Linked DNA regions of Struthio camelus. The protein of the gene in region 3 purifies or fractionates together with the protein of the main gene of each other region. This does not show direct contact. Links are inferred from orthologs where the notes say so. Each region holds a gene or a part of one and is shown on either strand. Other genes may lie near its edges.

Region 1 (7,333 bases), on a different chromosome or scaffold from region 3:
ACGCCCGCCACCGCCGCCGTCGCCCGCCACCACTGTCACCCGCCGGCTCACCGCGCCACCACCAGGAACTGGTCGATCTGCCGGTCGGTCAGCGGGTTGTCGGGGTCCCACACTTTCATCTCCATCTTCTGCTGGTTCCGGTTGTCCGATTCGCCTGGGGGACGGGGACGGGGTGGGTGGGGGAGCGCAGACCCCCCCCCCACCGCCTTCCTCCACCCCTCCCGGCCCCCCGCCGCCGCCTCACCCTCCGCCAGCCGGTCGGGGATCTCCGCTTGGTACTTGCAGCCGACCCGGATCTCGCCCTGGTCGGCCAGGAGGGTTTTCTGGACGGGGTCGAACACCAGCGAGTAGAAGAAACAGTCCTGGGAAGAGGAAGAAGAGGGAGGGAGGAAGGTGAGGGGGGCACGCAGTGGGCTGGGCCCCCCACCCCCACCCCAAAACGGCAAGGCCTCACCTCCTTCTCCAAGTACTGGCCCAGGATGTCGGTCTCGTTGAGGAGCGTCACGCTGCACTTCCCCCTGCGGGCGCACAGGCCGGGCTCACGGCCCCGCCGCCGGGGAGGGGGGGGGCGCCCCGCTGTCCCCCCCCGCTGTTGTCCCCTCCCTCCTTGTCCCCCCCCCCCGCCGCCGCACGCACCGGATGTGAGTGGCCGGCAGCGACTCGAACTGCCGGGAGAGGAAGAGCTCGCGGTGCTTGAGCTGGTGCCGCTGCTGCTCCGTCATGGCCGGCTGCTTGGACTCCTCCTCGAACTCGCCTGGGCGCAGCGCCGGCGTCAGCCCCCAAAGACGCCTTCCCCCCCCCACCACCACCCAAAAAAACACCTTCCGCCCCCCCCCCACAACCCCACCGCCGTCGGGGAAGGGGCTGCCCCCGCTTGGGTTGGAGGGGGGGACCCCCGGCGCCCCGCACTCACGCGCGTTGCTGTCGGCCAGGCTGTTCAGGCTGCTGGAAATGTCCCGCCGGCGGAAGAGACAAACCACCTTGGCCTCCACGTTGCCATTGGCGGTCTGCGGGGAGGGGGCGCTGAGCGGGAGGCAGGCGGGACCCCCCCCCCCCACACTTCATTTCACCCCCCAGGGCGGGGGGGAAGCCGGGCGGCCCCTCACCTTGTTGAGCTCCTCGATGCGCCGCACCAGGTAGGGGTTGCTGGAGGAGTTCTCAAAATAGACGTAGTCTGCGGGGAGAAGAGGCTCAGGGCGGGGGGCTCGCTGGGGCGGGGGGGCTCGCTGGGGCGGGGGGGGTGTCCCAGCGCAGCCCCCGCCCCGCAGGATGCCTCCGAAACCCGGGGGTGGGGGGGGCTCGCGCCCCCCGCCAACGCCCCTGCTGCGCGCGGGGGGCTCCGTCCGGCTGTTGGGGGGGGGGAACGGACCCCCCCACACACACACACATTGATGGGGAGGGGGCTCCTCTGCCCCCTTCGCGGCCCCCCCCGCCAGCCCCTCTCCTTTATGTCGCGGTTGTGCTCCTCTAACAGCTAAGGGCGCCCCAAAATGGGGGGATCCCCCCCCCAAGGATCCCCCTTCCTCCCCCCTCAGATTCCCCCTCCCCCCCCACAACGGATCCCCCTTCCCTCCTCTAACAGTTAAGGGGGCCCCAAAATGGGGGGATCCCCCCTTTCCCCCCTACAACGGATCCCCAAAATGGGGGGATCCCCCTTCCTCCCCTCACGGATCCCCCCCCCCGGATTCCTTCTTCTCCCCTCCGGATTCCCCCCCGATCCCCCTTCCCCCCCTCACAAATCCCCCCCCACAGACCCCCCCCGGATCCCCCTTCGTCCCCCTCACAGACCCCCCCGATCCCCCTTCCCCCCCTCACAGATCCCCCCTCACAAATCCCCCCCCTGGATCCCCCTTTCCCCTCTCACAGACCCCCCCCACAGACCCCCCCCGGATCCCCCTTCGTCCCCCTCACAGACCCCCCGGATCCCCCTTCCCCCCTCACAGACCCCCCCCCCACAGACCCCCCCGGATCCCCCTTCTCCCCCTCACAGACCCCCCCCGGATCCCCCTTCGTCCCCCTCACAGACCCCCCCGATCCCCCTTCCCCCCTCACAGACCCCCCCCCTCACAGACCCCCCCGGATCCCCCTTCTCCCCCTCACAGACCCCCCGGATCCCCCTTCCCCCCTCACAGACCCCCCCCCCACAGACCCCCCCGGCTCCCCCTTCTCCCCCTCACAGACCCCCCTCGGATCCCCCTTCGTCCCCCTCACAGACCCCCCCCAATCCCCCTTCCCCCCCTCACAGATCCCCCCTCACAAATCCCCCCCCTGGATCCCCCTTTCCCCCCTCACAGACCCCCCCCACAGACCCCCCCGGATCCCCCTTCTCCCCCTCACAGACCCTCCCCCCACAGACCCCCCCAGATCCCCCTTCTCCCCTTCACAGACCCCCCCAGATCCCCCTTCCCCCCTCACAGACACCCCCCCCCCACAGACCCCCCCGGATCCCCCTTCTCCCCCTCACAGACCCCCCGGATCCCCCTTCTCCCCCTCACAGACCCCCCCAGATCCCCCTTCGTCCCCCTCACAGACCCCCCCCGATCCCCCCCCGCCCTCACAGACCCCCCCCGGATCCCCCTTCGTCCCCCTCACAGACCCCCCCGATCCCCCTTCCCCCCTCACAGACCCCCCCCCTCACAGACCCCCCCGGATCCCCCTTCTCCCCCTCACAGACCCCCCCAGATCCCCCTTCCCCCCTCACAGACCCCCCCAGATCCCCCTTCCCCCCCTCACAGACACCCCCCGATCCCCCCCCGCCCTCACAGACCCCCCCAGATCCCCCTTCGTCCCCCTCACAGACCCCCCCCCGATCCCTCCCCGCCCTCCCGCCGCCGCCGGCCCCTCGCTCACCGCCGACGCGGTACATGTTGGCCGCCATGGCCGCTCGCTCGGCCGCGCTACCCCCGGGCCCGACCCGGGCCGCGCTTCATCGCCTCCCGCCGCCTCCCGCCGCCGCCGCCTCCCGTCGCCTCCGCACCGGCGCGACCCGCTCGGGCAGCTCGGGAGGGGGCTCGGCGCGGCCGCGGGCTCGGCGCGGCCTCGGGCCCTTCCGCAGCCGCCTCGGCTCTCTCCGGGCCGCGCTCGGCTCTTTCCGGAGACGCTCGGCTCTTTCCGGGGCCCCCTCGGCTCTTTCCGGGCCCCGCTCGGCTCTTTCCGGGCCCCCTCGGCTCTCTCCGGGCCGCGCTCGGCTCTTTCCGGAGACGCTCGGCTCTTTCCGGGGCCCCCTCGGCTCTTTCCGGGCCCCGCTCGGCTCTTTCCGGAGCCCCCTTGGCTCTTTCCGGAGCCCCCTCGGCTCTTTCCGGGCCCCCTCGGCTCTTCCCGGGCCCCCTCGGCTCTTCCCGGAGCCCCCTTCGGCTCTTTCCGGGCCCCTTCGGCTCTTTCCGGGCCCCGCTCGGCTCTTTCCGGGCCCCGCTCGGCTCTTTCCGGAGCCCCCTCGGCTCTTTCCGGGGCCCCTCGGCTCTTTCCGGAGCCCCCTCGGCTCTTTCCGGAGCCCCCTCGGCTCTTTCCGGGCCCCGCTCGGCTCTTCCCGGGGCCCCCTCGGCTCTTTCCGGAGCCCCCTCGGCTCTTTCCGGAGCCCCCTCGGCTCTTTCCGGGGCCCCTCGGCTCTTTCCGGGGCCCCTCGGCTCTTTCCGGGCCCCGCTCGGCTCTTTCCGGAGCCCCTTCGGCTCTTTCCGGAGCCCCCCCGGCTCTTTCCCGACCCCCCCTCGGCTATTCCCGACCCCCCCTCGGCTCTTTCCCGACCCCCCCCCCGGCTCTTTCGGGAGTCCCCTGGGGCCGCTGCGGAAGCGGCTCGGGAACGGCGGCGGCGAAGGAGGGAGGAGCCGGAGGGTGGCGGTGCCGCCGGGTTTTTATTGGGGCGGGCGCTAGGCGGGCTCGGGGCCGTCGGCGGGGCCGGGCAGGGAGCGGCGGCGCGGCCCGCCCAGCACCCGCCACTGGAAGACGCTGGTGTCTTTGCCGCCCAGCGACACCAGGTGCGCGTCGTCGTGGCTGAACCGCACGTTGGTCACGTGGCTCCCGTGCCCGCCGTACACGTGACTCGGCGCCTGCGCGCACGGCCGTCGGCACCGGCGGATGGGCCGGGGGGCGGGGCGGCGAGGCCACGCCCGCGCGCCGCCCTCCCTGCCTCCGCCCCCCCCCGCCCGCCCGCCCGCCCGCGCGCATGCGCACGAGCCTGCTCGCCCCGCGGCCGGCACGCGCCGCCCGCTCTGCGCCTGCACGCGCCCACGCGCGTCCTTCCTGCACGCCCACGCGCGTCCTTCCTGCACGCACGCGCACACGCGTGTCCTTGCTGCACACACGCACACGTGCATGATGTGCTCGTGCACACGCCCACGCGTGTCCTTCCTGCACGCACACGCGTGTCCTTCCTGCACACACACACACGTGCATGCTGTGCTCGTGCACACGCCCACGCGCGTCCTTCCTGCACGCACACGCGTGTCCTTCCTGCACGCACGCGCCCACGCGCGTCTTTCCTGCACGCCCACGCGCGTCCTTCATGCACGCACACGCGTGTCCTTACTGCACACACACACACACACACACACACACACACACACACGTGTCCTTGCTGCACACACGCACACGTGCATGCTGTGCTTGTGCACACACACACACGTGTCCTTCCTGCACGCACACACACACGTGTCCTTCCTGCATGCACACGCCCACGCGTGTCCTTCCTGCACGCACACACGCATGTGTGTGTCCTTGCTGCACACACACATGCACACGTGTGTCCTTCCTGCACACACACACACACGCGCGTCCTTACTGCACACACACGCACACGTGTGTCCTTGCTGCACACACGCACACGTGCATGCTGTGCTCGTGCACACGCCCACGCGCGTCCTTCCTGTACGCACGCGCACACGCGTGTCCTTCCTGCACGCACGCACACACACGTGTGTCCTTGCTGCACACACGCACACGTGCGTGCTGTGCCCCTGCACACGCACACACCTGTCCTTCCTGCACACACACACACACGCGCATGTGTGTCCTTCCTGCACACACAGGCACACACGTGTCCTTCCTGCACACGCACACGTGCATGCTCTGCTCATGCACACGCACACGCATGTCCTTCCTGCATATGCACACACGTGCATGCAGGCTCTCCTCGTGCACACGCACACACATGTCCTTAATACACACACACGCGCGTGCACGTGTCCTTCCTGCACACACACACACACGTGCATGCATGCTCTGCTTGTGCACACGCGTGTCCCTCCTACACACACGCACACGTGCATGCTCTGGTCGTGCACGTGCACACGCGTGTCCTTCCTGCACACACACATGCACACACACACACACACACACACGCATGCAGGCTCTGCCCATGCACATGCACACGTGTGTCCTTTCTGCGCACACACGCATGCATGGTCTCCTCGTGCACACGCACACGTCCTTTCTGCACACGCATGCATGGTCTCCTCGTGCAGACGCGCACACGTGTCCTCCCCACGCGCACACACGCACACATCTTTCTCGTGCATGCGTGCTCTCTTTGTGCACATGCACACGCGTGTCCTCTCTGTGCACACACGCTCTCCCCGTGCGCACACGCACGCGTGTCCTCCCTGTGCACACATGCCTGCACACATGCACACACACACACTCTCCCCGTGCGCACAACCATGCCCTCCCTTTGCACACGCGTGTGCGCGCGCTCCCTTTGCAAACGTGCTCCCGCCGCCTCCCCCCCGCAAACCTGTGCCCGTGCGCGTGCATGCACCGCCCACACGCGTGTGTGTGCACCCCCCTCCCCGCACACGTGTGCATGCACCCCCCCCGCACACGCGTGTGCGTGCACCCCCACCCTGCACACGCGTGTGCGTGCACCCCCCTCCCCGCACACGCGTGTGCATGCACCCCCCTCTGCACACACACGTGTGCATGCACCCTCCCCCTGCACACGTGTGTGCGTGCACCCCCCTCCCCACACACGCGTGTGCGTGCACCCTCCCTGCCCGCACACATGTGCGTGCACCCTCCCTGCCCCCACACGTGTGCATGCACCCCCCTCCCCGCACACGCGTGTGCATGCACTTCCCTCCCCGCACACGTCTGCGTGCACCCCCCTCCCCGCACACGTGTGTGCGTGCACCCCCCCTCTGCACACACACGTGTGCATGCACCCCCCTCCCCACACACGCGTGTGCGTGCACTCCCCTGCCTGCACACACGTGTGCGTGCACCCTCCCTGCCCGCACACATGTGCGTGCACCCCCCTCCCCGCACACGCGTGTGCATGCACCTCCCTCCCCGCACACGCGTGTGCGTGCACCCCCCTCCCCGCACACGCGTGTGCATGCACCTCCCTCCCTGCACACGCGTGTGCGTGCACCCTCCCTCCCCGCACACATGTGTATGCACCCCCCCTCCCTGCACACGCGTGTGCATGCACCTCCCTCCCCGCACACACATGTGCGTGCACCCCCCCACCCGCACACGCGTGTGCATGCCCCCCACCGCCCGCACACGCGTGTGCCCGGCCCACGGGCGCCCCGGGCTGACCTTGGGCCGGGCGCAGGGGTACTGGAAGAGATGAACCTTGCAGAAGTCGTCGGCCACGGCCACCACGCGCTCGTCGTGCGAGCGGCACAGCGAGTTGATGTCGGTGCCGTCGGAGCCGTCGGGCCAGACGCCTGCGCGGGGCGCCGTGAGCGCGGCCGGGGGGCCGGGGGGGCGGGGGGGGGGCACACGCACACGCGTGCACGCGCGGGGGCCCTACCGAAGACGTGGAAGCCCAGCACGCAGGTGTAGGTGGCCCACTCGCGGTCGCGGCTCTCGAAGCGGTTGCGCAGCAGCTTGCAGCCGCCGGCCACGTCCCCTGCGGGCCGGGGGGGCGGAGGGAGGCGCCGGCGGAGCGTCCCCCCCACCCCACCCCGAGCCCCCGCCTTGGAGCCCCCCCCCCCAGATCCCCCCCTGAGCCCCCCCGAGCTCCTTGGAGCCCCCTCGAGCTCCCAGAGCCCCTCTGAGCCCCCCCCGGAGCCCCCTTGAGCCCCCCCAGAGACCCCTTGAGCCCCCCCGAGCCCCCTTGAGCCCCCCCGAGTCCCCCAAGCTCCCCTGAGCTCCCTGGAGCCCCCTCGAGCCCCCAGAGCCCCTCTGAGCCCCCCCGGAGCCCCCTTGAGCCCCCCGAGTCCCCCCGAGCCCCCTTGAGCCCCCCGAGCCCCCCTGAGCACCCTGGAGCCCCCCCAGAGCCCCCAGAGCCCCTCTGAGCCCCCCCGGAGCCCCCTTGAGCCCCCCGAGCCCCCCCGAGCCCCCTTGAGCCCCCCCGAGTCCCCCAAGCCCCCCTGAGCTCCCTGGAGCCCCCTCG
Region 2 (7,074 bases), on a different chromosome or scaffold from region 3:
AACAGCATATGCTCACTCAAGTGCCATGAAGTCTCACGTTAAATACATAGTATTGAAAAGTACATGGAGTAGCTGAAGATTAAAGCAATCAGAGCATCAAAGCATCACCAAAAAAAGTTATATACATGTTTATATGCATACATATTTATATCCCACCCCACCACCCAAAAATCACCTCTGGTAGCCTAGCAAAACCTGTAGGGCCAACGCAGACTGGGATTAGGGCTCCTGCCCCATTTGCTGCTGTAGAAAGAGTTCCTAAATCACTAATCAGTTCCTCTGCTAAAAACATACTGAAAAATACCTCAAGGAAAGGCAGACAGTCAACCCCCCGCACCCCCCAAAAAAGGGAGAAAAGCAACAGTTCAGGGCTGAACGCTGCTTGTCAGGGCCGGCAACTACACCGACTGCCGCACCGCCCCCCCCCGGGACCAACGGCCTTCCGCGCGGCCCTTCCACCGCGGCGGGGGGCGCCACGCGCAGCCGCCTTCGCTTCCCGAGGCGCCGCCCACTTACCGGCGGCGGCGGCGGCAGCAGCAGCGGGGTTGATGAGGCCGGCGGCGGCGCTGGCGGGGAGGGGCGGCGGCGGCGGCGCTGCTCCCAGGCCGGCGGGCGGCGCGCCCGAGCGGGGGAACTGCTGCGAGCTCATGGCACCTGCGGGCATCGCCGACCGTTACATGGCGCTACCGGCGCGGCGCGGCCCCGCCCCGCCCCCCCGCGCCCGCCCCCGCCCCCCCGCATTGGGCGCCGCGCGAGCGGCCCCGCCAGCCCCGCGCCAATGCGGCGCGCCCCGGCCCCACCAGCCAATCGGGCGCGGGCCTGCGCCAGCGCTGGCGGCCAGTGAGGAGCCGTCCCGCTGATGACCTCACGCGGCGGCGAGCCAATGGCAGGGAGGGCGGCGCTGGCCCATCGGGGCGGGTCCTGGCCGCCCCGGGCCCGTCTCCGCCGTGCGGGGCGCGCAGGGCCCGGATGTTCCCCCCCCAGACGGCGCCGCGCCCGCGGGGCCGCCCGCGCCCCTGCCCGCGCCCGCGGCCCCTCCACAGCGAGAGGGAGAGCGAGCGCGGCCGCGGCGCCCCCCCTTCCTCCGCCGCTCGCCCCGCCGCCGCCCCCAGCCCCGCCCCGGAGCCCCCTCGCGCCCCGGCCGCCCCGCCGAAGGCGCTACCTGCCCCGCGGGCGGCGGCGGCGGCGGGACCCTCGGCGGCAGCCGTAGCTGCGTCTTCCCGTGACACCGACGCTGCAAGCTGAGCCGAGCTCCGCTTCCGCCGCTGCGCCTGCCCCCGCCCATTGGCTCCGGCCGGCCCCACCCCCCAGCGCTGCCCCCGCCCCATTGGCTGCGGCAGCCCGCGCCGCCCAGGGGCTCCTGGGAAACGTAGTGCGTGCGCCAGCAGGCCAGGCGGCGGCGGCCCCAGCCCCGGCCCCGGCCCCGGCCCCGGGCGGGCACACGGCGCCCCGGTTCCGCCGGTGCGGCCTGGCGACGGGGTTGGCTTCTCCCTTTTCCTTCCCGAACCCCAACGCGCACAGAAGCCTCTGGGCGCTCAGCCAGGGCGGCTTCGCTGCGCGCGCGGCCACACCGACCGCCCGGCGCTCTCCTGCCTCCAGGCTCAAAGATGCAGCCAGCCAATCAGCTGTAGTTTTCGGAGCTGTGTTCATGGTTTAAAATTAAACCAGAAAGAAAACGTTTTAAATACAGTATTACATTTGAGCAATCCCTAATTTTGCTTTGCAAGGCCTTTGTGCTTGCGTTGTGAACAAACCTGAAAAGGGGCGCTGAGAAAGCTGAGGGCGTGGACGGTGGTTAGGGTCAGCTTGGAAGGGCATCGCTGTGCAGGACCAACACGAGCCAGGACTACCGACTAGTCCTGCGGCTTTGACCTCGGTCTTGGGACGCTGCCCGCAGCCTTGTCAAAGTTAACTTGCCTGGCAGTTAATACAGCCCGGCCGGACTTTCAGCTTCGGAGATGTGCCGTTCTGCCCTCTCCCCACTCTGCTCCCTGGGGCTCAAAACGATCTTAGTAACGCTGTGAAAGGTTCAGAGAAAAGTGGCTAACACAACCCGCCATGGAGCGTGTGAGGAACACCCGAGCAGAGCCAGAACCCTCAGCCTGGAAAAGAGACTGTTAAAGGGCACTTCTGACAGTAAGATCACGAATGGCATAAAGAAGGTGATTAGGGAACAATTGTTTTGTGTCTGTCCCATGCTGCTTTAATTCCCCTCTCATACTTGCATTGCTAACAGTAAACAAACTAAAGAAGTGGTTCTCCACACAAAGCCCGAGTGAGCCATGGAAGTCCTTTCAACGGGGGAGACGGCTCACTCGACAAACTCATGAAAGACGCGACGCAGATGCCACCTCTGCCTCTGGAATTACCAACTCTGCAAACCCAGGCTGAGCAAGTACTCTGGAAAAGCGCTGCCGTGCGTTTGCCCTGCCTTTCACTCTTTCCTAGCCCTATGGCCCTTGGCTGCGTTAGGGACATGATCTCGGACTAAACGGGTCAGCGTAAGACGTGAGACCCCGCACGCGAACGGGATGCGCACAACAGCGCAGCAATATACACGGCGGCACGGGATAAAGGAGACTCGTGCCGGTCACAAGGCTGCTGAAGGCGCGAGGGATTTCGGAGCGGGGGGTGTGCACAGCCAGCTTGTCTCCCTCCCTCGCTCGCCACGCAGCGCTGCTCTCCCTGCGCCGCTCTTACTTGCTGCTCCGCAGGTCCCGCACGTTACATCCGGTGCGGGGGCTCTGGAGAGGGCCGAAAACAAGGCCGGCCTCGTCCCGCTGACCGGCCCGCTCGGCAGACGCTGGCCCTTGCTCCTCTAGGGCTCTGCCTGCCGGCGCCTCGGACTGACCGCTGCCTTCTCAGAGCCGCCCGCCGCGGCTGCTGCAGCTCTGTGCCGGGCCGCGGTCGGCGGTGCCAGGGAACTCGGGCTCCGCTGCCCCGCGGGGCTGGGCCGGGCGGGCAGGCCCCGGCAATGGCGGGCCGCGTCACGGAAAGGGGAAACCGCCCCGGGGGGGGGGCCTGGCCGCGGGGGCTCCGGCAGGCAAACGCCCTCGCGGCCGCGGCAGAGCCCCGCGGCAGGCAGGCCGGCGGCCGGCAGGCCGAGGAGCCGCGGGGGGCTCGCCGCCACCCCTCCCAACATGGCGCCAGGCGACAATCTGGCGCCGCTCCCGCTGTAACTCTATGGCCACGGGGAGGGCCGCCTCGCCCGGCAGCGGAAGCGCAGCGCCCGGAAGCCGGGGCAGCGGCGAGAGGCGGAAGGGAGCGTGGCGGCCGCTCGCAGGTGCGGTTACCACGGCGACCCGCGCCCGCCGGGCCGGTGATGTGGCGCGAGGAGGGGCCGGGAGCCGTTGGGCGCGCGGGGCGGGGGAGAGGGCAGGAGCCGCTGGGCGCGAGGCCGGGGCGGGAGCCGTTGAGCGCGCGGGGGGACGGGGCAAGAACCGTTGGGCGGGGGGGGGGGAGGAGGAGGCGGCAGGAACCGTTGGGCGCGCGGGAGGGGGGGAGGCGGCAGGAACCGTTGGGCGCGCGGGGGGGGGGGGAGGCGGCAGGAACCGTTGGGCGCGCGGGGGGGGGGGGAGGCGGCAGGAACCGTTGGGCGCGCGGGGGGGGGGGGAGGCGGCAGGAACCGTTGGGCGCGCGGGGGGGGGGGGGGAGGCGGCAGGAACCGTTGGGCGCGCGGGGGGGGGGGGAGGCGGCAGGAACCGTTGGGCGCGCGGGGGGGGGGGGGGGGAGGCGGCAGGAACCGTTGGGCGCGCGGGGGGGGGGGGGGGAGGCGGGGCGGGCGGAGCCGCGCAGCAGGTGCCGGGCGCCGGGACAGCCCTGCCCGGACGGCTGCGGCGTTCGTCGCCGGCGAAGGGGCGCAGCTCCCTGGGCCCGAGGGATGGTCTGTCAGTCAGTCGCCGTGTTGGCGGGGGCTGGAGGGAAACAGCTTTTTTTCCCTTTTCTTTTTTTCTTTCTTTTTTTTTTTTTGTGAATCACCTGTACCTTTGAGAACGTCTGTGTTACCGGTCGTTATTCAGTTACTGCAGTTCGCAGCAGAAGTGGTGTGCTGCGTATCAGGTCCTTATGAATACCGTCTGGATGGTGACTAGGAGCTAAAAGAGATTATTGCTGATCAGAGCTCTTCCAGTGTGTGATTTTGGACTAGTCGGTTAAACATCGTGCTTTAGTGTCAGTATCTGTGCTAAGGAAACGTGAGAGCCACATTTAAAAAATGTTGACAGAACCCTTCATGACACTCTGGTCATCTTCACTGTTCGCAGTGAATAATTGTTCCAAATGCTAGATTCGGGTGGATACCTTACGTTAGTTTTCCGGTCTTGGCACTGGGAGTTGGCTTCTCTTTCCAAGCAGTAGGACCTTTTCAGCTTACCTTTACTCGGCACACTCTGTAGCACATGATGAAGTTTAGTGCCCTCGCGATATGGCAGGGCTTGTGAGCGTGGGATGATTTATTTCCTTCTCTAAGGCAGGATGTGCACGTTTTCCAGAGGTAACTGTCTTTTCAGTTAATTTACTGGAGGAAAAATAAGGACTAAAAATATTTAAAAAACAAATCAAGCTTGAAAAATCCACTTTAGTGTCTTAATTCATATTATTTGTTTGCTTCGTTATCCTGCGCAGAACACGGCTGAACATCCTTAAGTCATTTACGTTCACTCCTGTGCCTTTTACCGCTTCTGTTCTCCATGGTGTATTTCTACTTTTGTTCAAGATACTGGTCTTTGCTTTGTTTTATGGCCCTATTAATCAGGGTGTATAGATGTTGCTAATATGCAGGTTTTCAGTCAACTAAAACAATTAAGATGCTGTCTTAAAACCACTCACCTGAAGATCTGCGTGTTGCATCTCTGTGTCAGAGGTATCTCCTCCATATCTGTCAGCTGCCTGTCACAGGCTTGTGCTCCGACGTGTGCTCTTTAGATGGGATGAACTGTCCTTTTTTCTATATTATATAGAGCAGAGTCTTTGTTACAGTCTTTCACAGAGTAGGGAGTCAGGCCCACGGGTCTTAAAGAGCAGCATAGGACTTTTATTGGAAGAGTACAGTAGGAGATATTTATTTGCATGTTCCAAACTACTGTGTAAAATTTGTAACGGATAAGGAGGACCAAATTCTGGGAGAAATTGCAAATCTTGTCTTTGTCGTGTTTGGAAGTCAAGGACTTACTCCACAAATATTGACGGGCTTCCTCCTCTGCAAACAATATGTTATAGCTTTAGCTCTTCAAAGTCATGGTATGCCATCTGGTCCGCTTCCCAGGCGTGCTGCAGCATAACACAAGTCTAGCACGCAGCTGAGCAAGGTGTATTATAATGGGGTATTTGTACTTTTATTCTGAAGGAAAGATGCTGAGATACAGAAAGAGCAGTGGGTGAGTGATTGCTCGTGAACTTACACCTGGAATAGTGTAATTTTTAAAGTGAGTAGGATGAGGTTGTCTTATTTTATAGCTCTTCTTATGTACAGATAGAACTATAGGTACGGATATATAACATGTATGCAAAAATTGTTTGTACATAGCACCATAAAAAAGAGGCAGAAGTTAGGTCCTTACAGGTTATCAGTTGTGATATCCTTGGAATTTGACTGGATTGTTTTTTTTCAGTTGGAGGGGAAAAACAGAAAAGGAGCGATCCAGAAAAATAAAGATTAAAGTGTGAAAGAGTGCCTGTGCGTGTATTTGGCTGTGGAGTAAATATATTATAGTCAAAAATTTTTAAGTTTTTGAAGGATGAAACAGAAAGCTAACAGAAAAATTCATGTCTTTGCTAAGCCTAAGAGTTGAGCAGGGAAATTCCGCTTAGCTGCACTGTGGTGAAGAGGTCAGAGGATATGTAGGCATGAAAGTACAAGTGAAGGTTAAAGAAGAAATGGCATTATTTTTTTCTGGCCTGTTTCTCACCCTAAGTTGTATCATTTGAGTCTGTCTTCATTCATCCATTGGCCTTCGTTTTTCAGTTTCTAGAGTTGGTGGTACTTAGTGCATCCAAGAAATGCTTGTTTCTTCATTCCCCAGTGAGGAAGTCTGCTGTACCCAGCTGAACCTAAAGGGCTGACTAGGGAACCTTAACCTTGCCTCCTCCTTCTGACACTGGTGAGTACATCAGCTGATACATCTGTGCAAATACAAAGTATCACTTTAACTGATCCTAAAACTAATAGTTAGTTGGTTGATCTTCCACCTAATTTGAAATATAAACTGTTTGTAAAATCCCTTCCTAAGGCAAGTTTATTTGACAGAATAAATATACAGGAAACTGGAATAGGTTTGACTGCAGCTCAGGAGTTTGATTTTAAAATCCTTGTCTCTTTTTCCATGCTCACAGTCCCCCCAGGCTTAAAAATCAAAAATACTATGATTATCTCATTGATTTATTGCACAAACCAGGCCACTGAATCTTGACTATGTCATAATATATTTGGATATGTGAGATTCTATATTTATAAAAAGAGATGACGTGAGACTAACGTTTTTTTCCTCCGACTTGTTTAGGTTTTTTCCTATAAAATGGGAATACTTATTGCAGTCCTTGGAATCTGGTTCAGCTCTTCACTTGCCAAAGGAGATTCCAAGGCTGTGACAACATCTCTAACTACAAAGTGGTCTTCAACTCCTTTATTACTTGAAACAAGGTAAGCGTGCCGTTATTTTCCTTCACAAATCCGAATGCACTTAAAGGATGAAATAATATATTCTCTCTGGGGCTAAAAATGGTGAGTTTTTTTGTTTTCTTTTGGTGCATCCTACAAGATTATTATGTGATATGTGTCAGCTGATTGTAAACGTTCATGTGCGGTGTCGATCTCTTTGTCCAGTTTGCAGTAGAGATTTTTATTTCTGTTCCTTGGGACGCAGACCTCTTCTTGTGTTTCTGTCGTTATATAATGGGCGCTCTTTTGCGTACCAGCCTGTGAGCAGTGGTTATGCTTTGGAACAGGTTGCCCAGAGAGGCTGTGGAGTCTCCATCCGTGGAGATAATCAAAAGCCATCTGGATGGGGTGCTGTGCAACCTGCTCTAAATGAACCTGCTTGAACAGGGGGGCTGGACTAGATGACTTCCAAAGGTCCT
Region 3 (6,954 bases):
AAAAAGTTTGCTTTTTTTGTTCCAGAAATGCTCATAAGTTGTGACATGTTTTAGAATTCTTGTACTGAAAAGCAAAACAGGCTTGCTGAAGAGTGGCAGTTTCCACTGTGCCAGGCAGCTACCTTAAGTCACATGGCACATTAAGTTTAGACAGAACTTTCAGAAAAGTGATCCAACGTATTTAACAGCCAAAAACACAGGCTAGCATCAAATCATTCCCAATCCCCCAAGATCCTCCCAGTCAGAGCCTTCAAGCTGGAGCTGCATGTCTTCAGGCAGCGACTCTTGCAAAGTTGTATTACTTATGTGGCTGATGTATGCAGATTTGGGCTATGAGGATGCCATCAAAGTTACATTCAATGAGCAACATCCAAAACATCTTGAAAATCCCTTAGAGGAACTAGGTTGGAATCACAGCCTCTGCTCAGAATCATCACACTGAAGAGCACCCGCTAAACCAGGCTCCAGCAGAAATAATCCAGTACACACGTAGGAAGAGGGCTTTAGGTCATGGCATGCTTCTTACAAACCTAGTGCTTTCTTCCCCCAACACTACGAAAAAGGTTCAAAAGCTGCAGTTCACTTTCAAAATAAGTGACAATGTTTCACAAACCTCCAGTGGAGAACACAAACAGGGAGAGGGCTATCCTCCTCCTCTCCTTTCCTGCCTGACTCTGAGTGTCTCCTCCCTGAACAGGGGACAAAAACCATAGAGCTATCCTCATTAGAGTTAGACTAGAGCAACAGAGTAGCTGCAAGAACTATTCTGCAACACGTTTTCACACCCAGAAAGAAATGATTGGAGGGACAGGAGTAGTGAAGCATTTATATCCCAAGTCCTACGTGCAATTCCCTTAAAATTGTCAGCTCCTGCAGAAGATAGATTTTGCTACTATGTGGCAAAGCATCACTTCTAGTAGAAGTCTGGAGAGGAAGCATCGGAAAGAAAAAGTTGAAAACAGTTTTTTTGAGAAAACTAGCAGATAATGAGAAATAAGCCAAGAGTTTTGTTCATTCTAATCTACATGATTAATACAGAAGATACTTCATAAAACTCAGTCAGCTCCTGTTATACTAAGGACTTAATGAGTCAGGAGTCTTCTGTTTTCCCCATCCCCCAAAATAAGGAAAGCTGTAACAGTGGAAAAGCAGCATTAGTGCAGACCTGGTAGTCATTAAGAAAAAGCTTAACATAACAATTAGAAAACAGCTATTTAGCTACCTCTGGAGTGTCGATGTCTTGCACCGGTGAGTCACCATCATCATCACTGCCTTTCCTCTTCCTTCTATTTCTCACACTCTGAATTAAGTTTTTGTGGAAGTCACAAATATAAAGATGTCTTGCCTGAAAGAGTAATGCTGCATCTTTCAATCAAATACACACACGTATCTGCTCAACTTAAGATATAAATGCACATACAGAACCAACCCTTCAGCAATCACAGTCACGTTAACTGAGTTCAGGAAGCTTTTCTGCTCGATTTCACTAAATAAGGTATGTGTTACGCTACGGACGACTGCCACCCGCTTAGCCTAGAGAGCGGGGAAGTGCCGCAGCAGACTGATTCAGTAGTACCGGACTGCAGAGGCACATGAATCTCCACGGCCGCTCGTCAGCGCTCAGGCATCAGGCAACAAGAGTGATTCAGTCGTTCTTCTGAACGCCCCAAAGCGGGAGGACTTCAGCTCTCGTTTCCCATCTGTACTCCTTTGTTTCACTTCCACTGCCTACGCAAGGTCAAGCGGCACATACGCTTTCTTTTTTTCTTTTTTTTTTTTTGGATAAAGTTTCCTTCTGGAAGGACCCGTTCATTTCGAAAGCAGAGTTCTTACTTATGTGCAAAAACCGTTTTTTTCCAGAGCGGTGAGCGCCGACTTTAACCGGAATTAAGGACCTGAGCGGGGCTAGGTTTACAGGGTGACAGCGCAGCGCGGCCGTGAGGAGGGGGGGGGGGGCCGCGGGCGCAGCGCTCCGCGCCGCTGCGCAGCCTCGCCGGCAGCAAAACACGCGGCGGTGCGTTTTCAGCCGTTTTGCCTCGGGGCGCCGGGAAACACCTCGGCCGCCCCTACCCCGGGCCGGGCCGGGCGCCCCCAGCCCCGCGCTGCCCCGCGCAGCGCTGCGCGGCGGCGCCTGATGGCTGCCGAGCGGAAGACGCAGCGGCGAGAGGGCAGACGTGCAACGCGACGGCACGAGGCGGAGCAGCCAAGCGCTGCCCTCGCCAGAAGCAGGCGCGGACGGACACCGCGGGAAGCGCGGAGGGAGCGGGGCAGGGCGCGCAACCCCCCCCCCCCCGCCCCGCCGCGCAGCCCGCCAAGGGCGCTTGAAGGCTGAACTCGTGCGGCGCCAGCCAAACTCCACGGCGTGCCGAGGAAGGAGAGGGACGGACCGCACCGCTCCGGAAAAAAGGGGGGAAAAAAAACAAAAAGGGAGAAAACAAAAAGAAACGGAGCCGTGGAAAGGACGGGCGAGCCCCGCGCCCCTCCAGCCGGGCCGGGCGGCAGAAGGGCTGCGCTGGCCCGGGGCAGGGGCCCGCTCCCCCCTCCCCCGCCGCCCGACTTACGCTCTTGTCCAGCTCGATCTTCACTTTCTTCTGCGAGATGCTCTTCTGGATCCGCTTGCTGAAGCTGGCGTTGCCGGCGGCCCGGCCGCACCGCTCCCCCTCCTCGCGCAGGCAGCACAGCTGCCCGGCCCCGGGGCCGCCCGCCCCGCCGCCGCCACCCGCCCCGGCACCGGCACCGGCACCCGCGGCGGCCGGACCCAGCCCCGGCGGCGGCAGCGGCGGCGGCGGCACCTCCACGGCGGCGCCCGCATTGCCCACGACGGCGGCGACCAGGGCGGCGGGGTCTGCCCCTCGCTGCGCCGCCTCCTCCGGGGCGAACCCGTTCATGCCCGGCGCCAACTCCGCGGCGGGGGGACCCCGGCCCGCACCAAACTGCCGCGGCGGGAGCGGGAGCGCTGCCGCCCTCGGCCGCGGCACCGGGGCGCGACCCCTCCGGCCCCCCCCTTCACGGGCGGCGAGCCCGCGCGCTGCGGGCACGCACCTCGCCGCCGGCAGCCCCCGCCTGCCGCTCTCCGCCGAGCTACCGCGGCCCCGGCGCCCCGCGGGTCGCGCCGCTTCCTCCTTCCCCCTCTGTCATGTGGAGACTTTTCAGCTGTTTCCTATGTAACAACAGCAACCTGCCCGCGGCTCCGCCCCCTCCCCTGCGCATGCGCGCTCCCCCGCCGGTGTATGTGTATGTTTGTGTGGTGGTGGGTGGGGCGCGGCGGGAACTGTAGTCTCGCTCGCCGCCTCCCCCTCCGCGGCCGGCGGCGAGGGAAAACTACAGTTCCCGACATGCCCCGCGGGGGAGCCGGAGTGCCATTTTACGGCGCTGCGGACGCGGGAGAGGGGGGTTGGGGGTGGTTGTTGGCTGTTCTCCGCGCTGGCGGTGGGCGCCCGCTCGCCGCTGCGCTCCTTTTCCCCCGCCGCCAGGTGGCCGCGCCCGGCCCGGCCCGGCCCGGCCCGGCGGCAGCGGCCCAGATCTGCTTTTAAAAGGCCCTTGTTCGCCTCCCTCCTTTCCTCCGCCGAGGCCGCGTGCGGCCGTTGAGATTTGAAATGTGCGGGGCGGTGCGGCGGCGGGAGCGGGCGGCCGGGCCGGCCGCTGCGGCGTTTCCCCGGCTGGGGCGGAGGAGGGTGGCGTTTCTCTCTGAGGGGCAGAGATCGCCACTTTCACTTGCTGAGCCGAGTGCGTAAACGTACTTCAACCTCAAAAGGTTAAGACACCCTTGCTTCCTATTCGCTAACGTCTGTGTTTCTGCAGCGCCTTACTTCTTCGCTCTCTTCAGCGGTGCCTCGCCTTTCTTTTACTTTCTCTGGCTGTAACATTTCAGCCTAACTCGCATTTCCTTGGATGGTTTTCTTGCTTGGTTTTTCTAGTTTGTTTTGTTTTCTTTCTGCCGTACGTCTGTGCATATCTCGTTGCCTCTTTTCTTTTTCAGCCTTTTTCCAGTAACGGTCGGAGAACAGATCCCGTTGCCCTGGACTGAATGCAGAGTGCTTTCTGTCATGTGCGGTGTTGCCTTGCAACTGGGAGCTCTTTGAGAGCCTCTGTACAGCCTGTGGCTTTGAGTCTGTTGACTGAGAATAACTGACAGTAGTCCTTTATGTTAAAGCCGTTTTTAAAACGGCTGCAAGGGGAGCCTAGCCTTGCGATAACTTCATAAAGATCTCTTAAGCCAATGTACAGCGCAAGCTTCCAATTTTACTATTTAAACGGGCTTTTGGTGAATAAAGATGACTTTAGCAACAACAAACTAACACTGCGTTATCTTTTGCTAGTGATGAACTGGGACTTTGCTGTGTATAAGACCAGCTAAAATAGATATTGTGAAAATACTTGTTAAAAGCAAGTATTTTTAGTTTCAGGAATTTGCAAAACCACATGAGAGATGCATTAGCATTAAACCAATTGCTAGTGCTGCTGTTGGCTGCGGAGTGACAGAAGATGCAAACTTTTGATGCATTTTTCTTCATGTGCTTTCAAAGTATAGGCACTGAATGAATATTGAGTTTCGTTTTGCTTTCCTTTCAAACTGCCATGAATATTCCCTTAAATCTAAGAAATGGTATCTGAACTGACTGTACTCAAAGCATGATGATTTAATCACTCAAATATTCAACCATATCAGTTACCATGCATTTTCAGTTTGCAGAATCAGAAGAGTAATGGAGAAGTCAGTGAATGATTTGACAAGACACAGATCCCGTGTAAGCCAAAGTTCTAAGTGAGCCGGGGAACACGATTAGAACGCAGCTTCAGTTTGTGCTGCAGATGGCTTTTTAATCTGATTACATAACCTGGTATTATAGAATGTGGGTAGGTTCCCACTTACACTTCGAACAGTGTAATTGAATGAATGATACAGTAAGTAAAAAATTGAGCATAGAGTCACAGACAATAGAGAAGGCACATTTCAAAGATTCAGAGAGATTAGAGTTCAAAAAAAATCCAAAGCTCTGTTTTGTTATCAACTGAACAGAAGTCTAAATGAAGTATCTGGGTATAATCTGTATAATCTCAGACAACAGACATCTAATTCACTTTTTAAGTTTCCTATGATTTGACCCTTTTAACAGTTGCAATAATAAAATATTAAAAGAATGGTAGCAGGGCTTACCTAAGGAAAGTACAGGCTAGGAAAGCTGGAGCAAGGGTGAGTTCCAGGAATTCTTCAGTGGAAATCTGTGTCATGAATAGCAAAACCTGCAATTTTACACTATGTCTTTTGAGACCCATCTTTCTTTAGATTGTTTTCACCTTACTGTGAGCACAAAGCACACCAGGCTAGGTAAAGAGTGGTTGAGATTTGGCATAGTAGGTTTGGTTGGTGCAGTTTCATAAGATGGAACGATCAGTAGCGCATTTTAAATCTGTATTCCCAATTATCTTGGTATCATCTGTGAACAGTTAAAGACCTTATTACATTAATCAGCTATGCTGGCCAGTATGTTAAATTATAAGCTGAATTTCAAAATGAGTAGTGTCATAGTTTCATTATCATGATAAGGCAGTAGTAGGGCTGAGAAAGACAGTCCTCCTTCTGCCATAAGCCGCTCATTTTCACACCCAAGCCCTCCATGCCCTTCCTTGTGCCTGTAAAAGCATTTATACAGCTGCAGAGCAAACTGGATTGGGTTAAAACTAGCCCAGCAGAAAGAAAATCAGTTAAGTTTAAGCCTGATCTCCTTTACTGCTCAATTGCGTGATGTCTTAGCACAAAGGACGATCCAACAGAAGGGCAGGACTGCCTGACTAGCACCAGAACAGGGAAGGGCCACCTTCTTTGGTATCAATGCCAGCTTAAAATAATTCAGAAATCACGTCATTGCATTTTTTTATCCCACATACTGTACAAGGTTAACAAAGAGCTGCAGATAGGTGGGCTTATCAGGCAGAGTAAAAATTCCATCTACAGGATAGATTTTCCAAATTGCATAGTTAGGCCCTTTGGAATAAAACAATGTCATAGATGGATTCTGCTAGATTGCATTTTGTGCAAAAGTATGATTTTATAAAATTAAGCTCTGGCAGTGTTTAATAGAAGTATTTAGATATAACTATATTATATATATATGTACTGGGAGATTGTAAACAAATATCCCTATCAAAGTATGCATTATTGGAACAATATGTATTTAGAGCAAAAGTTTGAAAAACTAAGCTGATCGCATGGAAATGGCAGCTCCAAACTAGTAAATTTTTGTGTAAGACTTCACTAGCATTTATGTGCCATATTCACACGCAGAGTTGAAAATTAAGGCAGTAATAATCTATGTCATAGATGCCAAAAATGCATTATAGATAACTTAAGTGGCATGCAGAAGGAACAGGAGCTACAGTATCTTGAAAAGGGCATCTGTTCAAAGCAGCAGCTCCCAGGCTCCAAGTGCATGCAGCAGGACTCAGTGGCCCTTGCTGGCACAGAGGGGAGCCAGGCACCGGTGGGAAAGTGAGCAGCTTATGCCTCTTTGACTGCCGTCTGTCCCAGCTCCTGTTAGCTTTTGTGCTTAACTTGTAATTTGAGAACAAAAAATGATAAGCAGACACATCACTTTGGATAGATTGCTGGCACGCTGTAAATGTATTATGAGTAATCGTGGAAAGGAAATGTGTTTTGTAGCTATATATATATCTTAATACGATAAGGGTTCAATTAGAGGTGACTCTTCCCTTTAGGTACCCTTTAGGGACCATTCACTAGGAGTCCAGGTATACTTTACTGAGTGTTGTGCTGCACCTCAAATTATCCTGTTGGCAAATGTTTTAAAATAAAATCCTTAAAATGGTTTAACAATTCTGCACATTCCAACACATCCTGTGTTGGATGTATATGATTCAGGTAATACAGTAAGAGAGAAAATCATGCCATTAACCAAAATGGTTAAATTGGTGCACAACTGGTATTTCCTGGTC
Region 4 (7,589 bases), about 4.3 Mb from region 3:
ATAATTCATTCCGGATTCCACTGCAAATGTTTACCTCACGTTGACAACACCTCACTTAGTGGAGAGGGTCAGTGGTAACTATTGCAGTTGCATGCATGAATCCCATTGCCAGTCTTGACTAGCTTCCAGAAATAATTACAGTGGTTGGGTTCTACCTATACGGATATCTGGGCACCTGCCCTGCCTGGGTGCCTACACCCAGCAGTTTCCTAAACCCAATGGGAACCAGGCAGTCTCAGCCATTTTAGAGTTTGGCAAGCTGCCTTGTCATCAGCAGGACTTCTGGAAGGCAGCTGATTTAACTTATGAGCCCTTCTGCCTGTCCATCTCGACAAATAAAGGTGTTTTGCTCTACTGTGCCTCTCTTATCACCAGATGATTCTCACAAACTGTCATCCAAAAAGGCGATGTAGTGGGGTCCCAGAGGAGGTGGCTATCAACCTGCAAATTGAGAGTTCTCTCATACATTAAAGTTCTCCACTGCTTGTTCCTAGTCATTTTGAGGCATTATCAAACCAGAGGATTCAGCCTGCCGTTTTTCCTTTCCTTCCTTCAAAACCTCAAACATGTGGTAAGCTAAGGCTTTTTTTTTTTTTTTTGGCAAGGAAATCTCGTTTAATATTACCAAAGCATTCTCAAATTGCCCAAAATTTAAATCGTTATTTAGTGTTCAAAAGCAGTGGAATACACTTAATTTCAGGAAACACGAGGTGATCTCTGCTGTGCCTTAGATACTGCTTCCCCCGTAGTGACAAACAGTTAGCAAGTTTCCAGCACAGAAACCACCTGTAATATACTCTACGAGTTATTCTAAAACGACTTTCTTGACTATTACTTTACCAGCGGTGCATATATAATTTCTGGTCAGAAAAAAGTGATGCCAAGTAAATATATTAAATTTGTAATTAAACGTTAAATAAAATTAAATGTTTATTTTCACATGTTAATTTTTAATTAACTTTTGTTGCTTCATTTTACTGCTCTGTAGTGTAATTTTCAGTTTCTTGGTTTGATTTCTTCATGAGGTGGTAGAATGATACAGATATTTGAGCTTACTATAGACAGAAAATAGCCAACATATTTCTACAGAACTTTCTATCACTGATATTAATCCGGGTTCTTTTGCACTATTAAGTAATTCTTTCTGCCTGGGTAGTAAGTGCCATTTGTTGTTCATGTCATACGAACGAATTCAACTGACTAGATTTTAGTGATTCAGAACCGACAGCAATGATCACTGTAGAATAAAGTTTCAGCAACTTACTGTCAAAGGAATTGAAAGTAGCTAGATTATTTTCATTTTCTATGTCCATTTATTCAAAAATTAGACAAACAGCACAATCTGATCTGAAATTTAAATTCATTAATCCAAGCTATGACAGAAGACAAGGATCTAGTTTTACTGGCATATGGCTTTTAATGTTACAGTGTACTCTTAAGAACGTGAATATACTGAGTTGCAGACTTCCTGTGTTCTTGGCCAGAGTGAGTGACATCACCGACATAACAAAGTTGTAGACAGTATTTTCAAATCACTGTTTTTGATTCATTTTTATATATTTGCCAACTCATTGCTGGCTCTGGTAGAGAAAAAGAAGTCTATCTACAGCTACAATTACTCAACATCTAAGACATAGATTCAGAAAATTATTGTTACATGGGAAACCAGTTTAGCAGCTGCAGGAGTTGAACGTTAAGAGCATGTTTAAATACTTTCCTGCACTGGGGTCTTAAGAAAATTTTCGTAAGACTGGAGTCTTAAGAAAATAACACTTGCAGAGTGCCACCACGCGAAATGCTGACCTTGCTCGTCAGAGGAAATCTGAGGTTCAACATACTCATTTTGTCACAGGATTAGCCATCTGGCACAGATCACACATTCACATAGTGATAGAAAAAAGCGTACTGGAAGGGATCCTCTGGAGGTCATCTAGTTCGGTCCCCTGCTCAAAGCACAGCCAGCTTCACAGTTCAGTTGGGTTGTGCAGGGCCTCGTCCAGCCAGGCTCTGAAAATCTCTAAGGATGGAAACTATATAACCTCTTGGGAAACCTGTATCAGTGCTCAACCACTACTCTAGATTAATTCCATCTTGAAATGTTATCTGTAGGATTAATATAGGTACTCTTTTAGTACTGGCTGCTTACCGACATGCAGGAAAGTAAGACATAAGGTATTTATTTTTCCCCTTGAATTCAGTCACCTCTGATGCTGTTTTTTCAAAGCTTGCAAGATTTCATATTTGTCTTCTCCCTTTTTTTCAGGTACCTGAAATATAAATGCAACATACAGCAAAAGGTACAGGTCTCCTGGCTATGTTTCAAGACTCCACAAGATTTTTTTTCTGATGCTCACCAATTATTATTCATGCAGTAAAGATGGCATTAAAATGTCTGAAGGGGTGATAGGGATGAAATCTCAATCTTTTAGTAATTAAAACTACTTGATACCATTTTTCCCAATTATACTAGAGCTCAAGAGTACATATATTTCTACTTGTATTTCCTACCATATTTATCGTGGCCAACACTTGATACAAATTCTGCATCAGCCCTTGGGGAGGAAGGATACTCTGTCAAAACTGGAGATTTGTTGGCAGGCAAGCGGGTTTTAAAAGACTAAACTTCTTTGACGCCTTATTTAAAATTCTCTCAAATGATTCCTCAGGATAAAATGTCACTGCACTTCCATAAGTAATAGTTTATCATGAATCATTATTTTGCTCTTTAAAGCTAAATAAGGTAGCTCTTACTGTGGGCAAGAACAGTCTAAACCACTGCTTCTTACAGTTCAGGGAGATGAATTAATTGGATGTCTCGGCATATCAACTGCTACTGTGATAAAAACTTGCCTTTGGAGCACACTCTAGCGTAACAGAAAGTAACCTACCTTCCCTGCATCTAGTCTGTAACCGTGCTGTTGGTACAAACCTCTCCTCATGATGAGAACTGCTCTTCAGAAATAAATTGTTACAGAAACAAATATAGCTCACAATAATGTTCGGGAGATAAATACACACACCATCTGCAAACAATTTAATGTGCATATAAATTTTGTTGCAGTAAAACTTACTCCCATTCCCCTCCTCTCAGGCACACCGCCTTTGCAAAGGAGCGCTTTCAGAGATTAAGCTTCAGCACTGACGAATTACGATTTCATATGCCAAAAAGCATTCCAAGCAAGTGAGAGGGCAGTGCAAAGAAAGGGTAAGGCTTTAGCATCACATAAAAAACTTAAACGGCAGTAAACATCAACTTTTTTGACCTGTTACTGAGTTGCCAGTCTTTTGGTATGAGCCTGTAAGTTGCAAAAGGTGACATCTACTGCCTTCTTGATATGTTCATAGCACCATACGAGCGTGAGTTCCTAAAAGGAGTGTACCCACCCCCACAGCCCTGTGCTTGCTCGGTTATATTTGGTATTACTTCCTCAGAAATTGGGAAGGGTCTGGATAACGGCTGAAAACCCAGCTTGCGGTTTCCTCGCCTGCGCGTTCAAACAAACGCCACGCGCGACAGCTGGAACGAGCGCTTAAGTTCCTCAACCGCCGCAAGGAGGGGGCGCGTTTGGGGCAGCGTGAAGAAACGCGGGGGGGAGAGGGGGGTGCTGACTGAGGAAGGGAGTTTAAAGCTCCTCCTGGCGGAGCCCGCCCTACCTGCCACGCTCGTAACCCCGGCGGCCCGCTCGCCGGCCGGCGGGCAGAGGCTGAGGGAAGCTGAAGGTGAAACGGGACTGCCCGCCCCCGGCAGCGCCTTCCCTTCCACCGCGCCTGGAGCTGACGCGGCTAGAAACAGGGCTGAGCGCGCCCGCGGCCCCCGGGGTCGGGGGGGGAGGTGGGGGGAAGTAGCCCGGGGCCCGGCACGGCCAGGCCGCGACGCCCCAGCGCTGAGCGAAGCGAGCCGCGGCCGTTGGGAACCCCCTGCCCTGCCCTGCCCCGCCCCGCCCCGCCCCGCCCAGGCAACGGCCGCCCGCCCCCGCCCACACGCGGCGGCCGCCGGGGCACCTGGCGGGGAGGAAGGGGGCGGGGCCCAGCCGCCCGCCTGCCACCCCTTGGTTGCGCGCCGCCACCGCGCGGCGGGGACGCGGGGAAGCTCCGGCAGCCGGGAGCCGCCTGCCGCGGGCAGCGGGAGCCGCCTGCCGCCGGCGCCGCTCCGCCCCGGGCGCGGGGCGGGCGGGGAAGGGACGAACGCGGGCGCCTTCGCCTTTAAGAGCGGCTCCGCCTCCGCGGTGGCTCCCGCCCCCTGCCACGCGCCGGGCCACTGGGAGCGGGCGAGGGAGGAAGGCGGGAGAATGCGAACCCCTCGCAGCGCCTCCAGCCGCGCCTTATAAGGGCAGGGCCTCGCGCATGCGCGTAACCTAGCGGCCAGGGGCGGGGGCTCCAAGTGGGTTTTGCTTCGGCGGCGGCGGCGGGGCGGGAAGGGGCGCGGGGAGCCGGCGGCAGCGGCGGCCGAGGCCGAGGCGCGCTCCCTGCCCCGCGGGGCGGCGCGGCCGGCGGCGCAGCGCGGCACAGCCCGGGCAAAGGGGCGGCGGCCGCGGGGAGCGGGACGGGGGTCGCCCCCGGGCCGGGCCGGGCCGGACGGCGCAGCGCAGCGCAGCGCGGTGCATGTGCTGCGGGCGCGGGGGGATGATGCTGGCGGGGCCGCAGCTGGTGGCGGGGCCGGCGGCGCCGGGCGGGGAGCGGGCCCGGCTCCTCTCGCTCTACGTGCAGGACTACCTGGAGTGCGTGGAGTCGCTGCCGCTGGATATCCAGCGCAACGTGTCGCTGCTGCGGGAGATGGACACGCAGTGCCAAGGTGGGCGCCGCGGCGGGCACCGGACGGCGCGGGGGGGGGGGAGGAGGAGGAGGAGGAGGAGGGCGGGCGAGGCCGCCGCCGCACATGCGCCCGGCGCGGCGGCCCGGACCGGCTGTTGGCGCCGGCCCGGCTCCGCGGCGGGGGGCGGGGCGGGGCGGCGGGGGTGGGACACGCGCGCGGTTGGGGGGGAGGGGGGCGCGGCCCCGGGGGGCGCTGCCGGCCCCGCTAGGCCCCGTCCGGCCCCAGCCCAGCCGGGGCTCCCGGCCAGCAGGTAAACCCGCCTCCGCGCGTGGGGCGCTCTGCGGGCCGGCTCTGTCGGTTTTTGTGCCCCCCCCCCCCCAAAGGAAATACCTCTCTGAGCGAGAGGTACAGTGCGAGACTCCGAAGCCAGAGAGGCAGCAGTGAACCCCCCCCCCCGATCCCCCGCCTTCCCAGCCCGGGCAGGTGTCCATCTGTCCGTCCGTCCTCCCGCCTGAGTTACCTGCAGCGCTGTCAAGTCCAGCAGCCCCGGCAGGTTTGTCCTGACCCCGCCGCGGCGCCCAGCGGTCGCGCTCCCGGCGAGGCGAATGCAGAAATCGGGTTTTGGAAATCCCACGGCTCTCGCTGCACCGCCCACGCGTGGAGGATGTCAGCCGCGGGCGAGCGGCGCGGCTGGAAGGGCGCAGGCTTACCCCGCTAGCGCGCCGGCTCCCGGCTGGCCCTCAGCGCTCGCCGACTGGATGAGGAAGTTAGCTGTGCTCCCTTTGATAACAGCTCACGGAGGGGAAAGGAAAAAAAAATCTGTCCTGTGGCAAGTTACCGTCAACTTTAGTCAAAAAAAACGCTTCTTCCAAATTGCAGGTTAAATGGGAATTAAATCCATTCTGCCTAACTCTCTCAGCTGTGGTATTTTTTTTTTATTTCTAATTCTTGCTGGTATCCTAATAGGATAGGATCTACTACTGAATAGCTTTATTACTTGAAATATGCAGCAGAGACCAAATGACATCAACCCACTGTACAAGTGAGTAGGAATTTGGTCCTATGGCATAAGAACTGGAGATTACAATATACTGTAATTTCCCTTTATAATAGAAGGCTTTCTTAAATTTGGGTAAGAAGAGACCGTTAAGGCCTTTCAGAGGTTAAATAAAGCACCTCAGAAGACAGCTATTGTAAATGGATTCTTTCAATTATCTTCCTAATTACCCAGGAAGATACATAAGAACAGGCTTTTGTAAGTTTTCTTAAAGTCTGAAGTGCATAGGCTTGTTTGCAGTATTTTGAATTCTTTGTCATGGCTGGACTGCTTACCAAGTTCTTTGTGCAACCTGTGGTGATTTGGTTATGAGCCAGCACTCTAAATCTGTATTAAATAAAGTTAATCTCTTATTTAGCCTATACTTTTAATATGTATTCTTCCAGCCACTAATGTGAAACTGGGCCAAAGCAGAGGTTTGTAGAGTTTTACCTACAAACCTAGTTTAGTTTTACCCAGCTACATCTGTTCAGAAAAAGGAAAGAAAAAAAGCATAAGAATGTGACAAAAATATTTTAGGCCTAAGTCTGAAGATCTTCTAAAAGTGCTGCTAATATGATTTTGGCTAACTTAAAAGGTAGTGCTAGTTCATGTGGGAGGGCCAGAGTCATTCCTGGACTTGGAAAACTGAAATCCTTTTAGCTCCACCAAACTTAATCAGATTATCTGTAATAACGCCTGGTCCTGGTTTTTTAACAGGGGTTTCAGAGCTACTTAGTTGGGCCTATGGATGCTTTCTCTAATCTTGGGAAATAATGAGCGAGTTTGGCAAACTTGCATCTCTGTCAGTCCAAAAGTTCTCTCTCTTCTCTCCTTGTGAGAAATTTGGCCACTGTTTGGAGAATGGGATGGGAGGTTGTCCTGATTGTGATTGATTTGCATGTTTGTCTTATCTGCAGGTAAATATCAAGGGATACATCCGGAGAATAACAAACTAAAAAAAAAAAAAAGCCTCAGTAGAGTCAAATTTGTTCTCTGTTTTCTTTTTCTGTGGAAAAAGAACAGTTGTTATTTGTGGGTTCTTTCGGGCAGGGCATCCCCTATATGGAAAATCTATGTAACTACAAGTACACTTTTTTTTTTTCCTCTCACAAAAAAAGTCTGGGTAGGAGATAATGTGGCTGCAGCATATTGTACTCTGGTTATGTCTTTCTAGTTCAACAGCTTACAAAATACCTTACTCTGCACTTTTCAGGAGCAGAGAATGAGATTTTCTTCCCTGTCAGGGCAACAGGCAAGACGTGCAGCTGAAGGTGCATGGAAACAACGGTCATGTTTGTAATGATAGCTGCAATGCTAGTATTCAGAAGAAATAGGTTGAGTTATTGGGCTGGCGCAGCAGTGATTTTATCTTACCCAAGTGAAAGTCTGGAATAGACCAAAATGCTATTGACTTCTGTTGTCATACAGATTTCAGAATTTACAGTAAGAAGTGACTGTTCCTGCAATACCACTGTTTCAAAATGTCAGCATGAAAAAAAGCCACTGTGCACAATGCTAAGGAGATAATACCTGTGGTTTCTATTTAGTGCAAGTTTGAATCATTTCACAGTTGTACAAAGCAGACAAAATTACTTAAAAATAAAAGCCAGTTTGTAAAAAGCTGCTCTGTAGAAAGAGACTATATTCGTTTAGTGTTGTTAATAAATTCGTTTGCACATTCAAATAAAATTCTTAAGTTTTTGAAGAAACATACACTGCATCTAACACAGTGCATCAGATTTCACTGTCAGCTCTGAGGTTAATTTAGTTCTTTTCACTTTAGCAATTCCTTTCTCT

What was found.
Region 1: the proteins of SAP30 (region 3) and MTA2 purify together in Homo sapiens (affinity purification with mass spectrometry; 3 studies listed by BioGRID, with this or other methods). This does not show direct contact. The link is inferred for Struthio camelus from reciprocal best matches to the Homo sapiens genes SAP30 and MTA2.
Region 2: the proteins of SAP30 (region 3) and SAP130 purify together in Homo sapiens (affinity purification with mass spectrometry; 4 studies listed by BioGRID and IntAct, with this or other methods). This does not show direct contact. The link is inferred for Struthio camelus from reciprocal best matches to the Homo sapiens genes SAP30 and SAP130.
Region 4: the proteins of SAP30 (region 3) and ING2 purify together in Homo sapiens (affinity purification with mass spectrometry; 3 studies listed by BioGRID and IntAct, counting the BioPlex papers as one, with this or other methods). This does not show direct contact. The link is inferred for Struthio camelus from reciprocal best matches to the Homo sapiens genes SAP30 and ING2.

The regions. Positions count from the first base shown.
Region 1 is NC_090976.1:523,450-530,782, reverse strand, and holds the start of MTA2 (metastasis-associated protein MTA2), read right to left. Parts: upstream 3,010-7,333; 5' UTR 2,879-3,009; coding exon 2,851-2,878; intron 1,175-2,850; coding exon 1,107-1,174; intron 1,008-1,106; coding exon 914-1,007; intron 755-913; coding exon 637-754; intron 519-636; coding exon 455-518; intron 363-454; coding exon 245-362; intron 155-244; coding exon 52-154; intron 1-51. Other genes in the region: EML3 (echinoderm microtubule-associated protein-like 3), read right to left, coding at 3,864-4,043, 6,532-6,662, 6,749-6,847. UniProt on the Homo sapiens protein: May function as a transcriptional coregulator. Acts as a component of the histone deacetylase NuRD complex which participates in the remodeling of chromatin.
Region 2 is NC_090950.1:6,535,393-6,542,466, forward strand, and holds the start of SAP130 (histone deacetylase complex subunit SAP130), read right to left. Parts: upstream 3,012-7,074; 5' UTR 2,701-3,011; intron 2,019-2,700; 5' UTR 1,819-2,018; coding exon 1,755-1,818; intron 1,297-1,754; exon of another isoform or gene 1,163-1,296; intron 655-1,162; coding exon 517-654; intron 1-516. Other genes in the region: UGGT1 (UDP-glucose:glycoprotein glucosyltransferase 1), read left to right, coding at 6,513-6,637. UniProt on the Homo sapiens protein: Acts as a transcriptional repressor. May function in the assembly and/or enzymatic activity of the mSin3A corepressor complex or in mediating interactions between the complex and other regulatory complexes.
Region 3 is NC_090945.1:46,426,785-46,433,738, reverse strand, and holds the start of SAP30 (histone deacetylase complex subunit SAP30), read right to left. Parts: upstream 3,001-6,954; 5' UTR 2,889-3,000; coding exon 2,562-2,888; intron 1,346-2,561; coding exon 1,223-1,345; intron 1-1,222. UniProt on the Homo sapiens protein: Involved in the functional recruitment of the Sin3-histone deacetylase complex (HDAC) to a specific subset of N-CoR corepressor complexes. Capable of transcription repression by N-CoR.
Region 4 is NC_090945.1:50,693,053-50,700,641, forward strand, and holds the start of ING2 (inhibitor of growth protein 2), read left to right. Parts: upstream 1-4,589; 5' UTR 4,590-4,602; coding exon 4,603-4,792; intron 4,793-5,719; exon of another isoform or gene 5,720-5,773; coding exon of another isoform or gene 5,774-5,795; intron 5,796-7,589. UniProt on the Homo sapiens protein: Seems to be involved in p53/TP53 activation and p53/TP53-dependent apoptotic pathways, probably by enhancing acetylation of p53/TP53. Component of a mSin3A-like corepressor complex, which is probably involved in deacetylation of nucleosomal histones.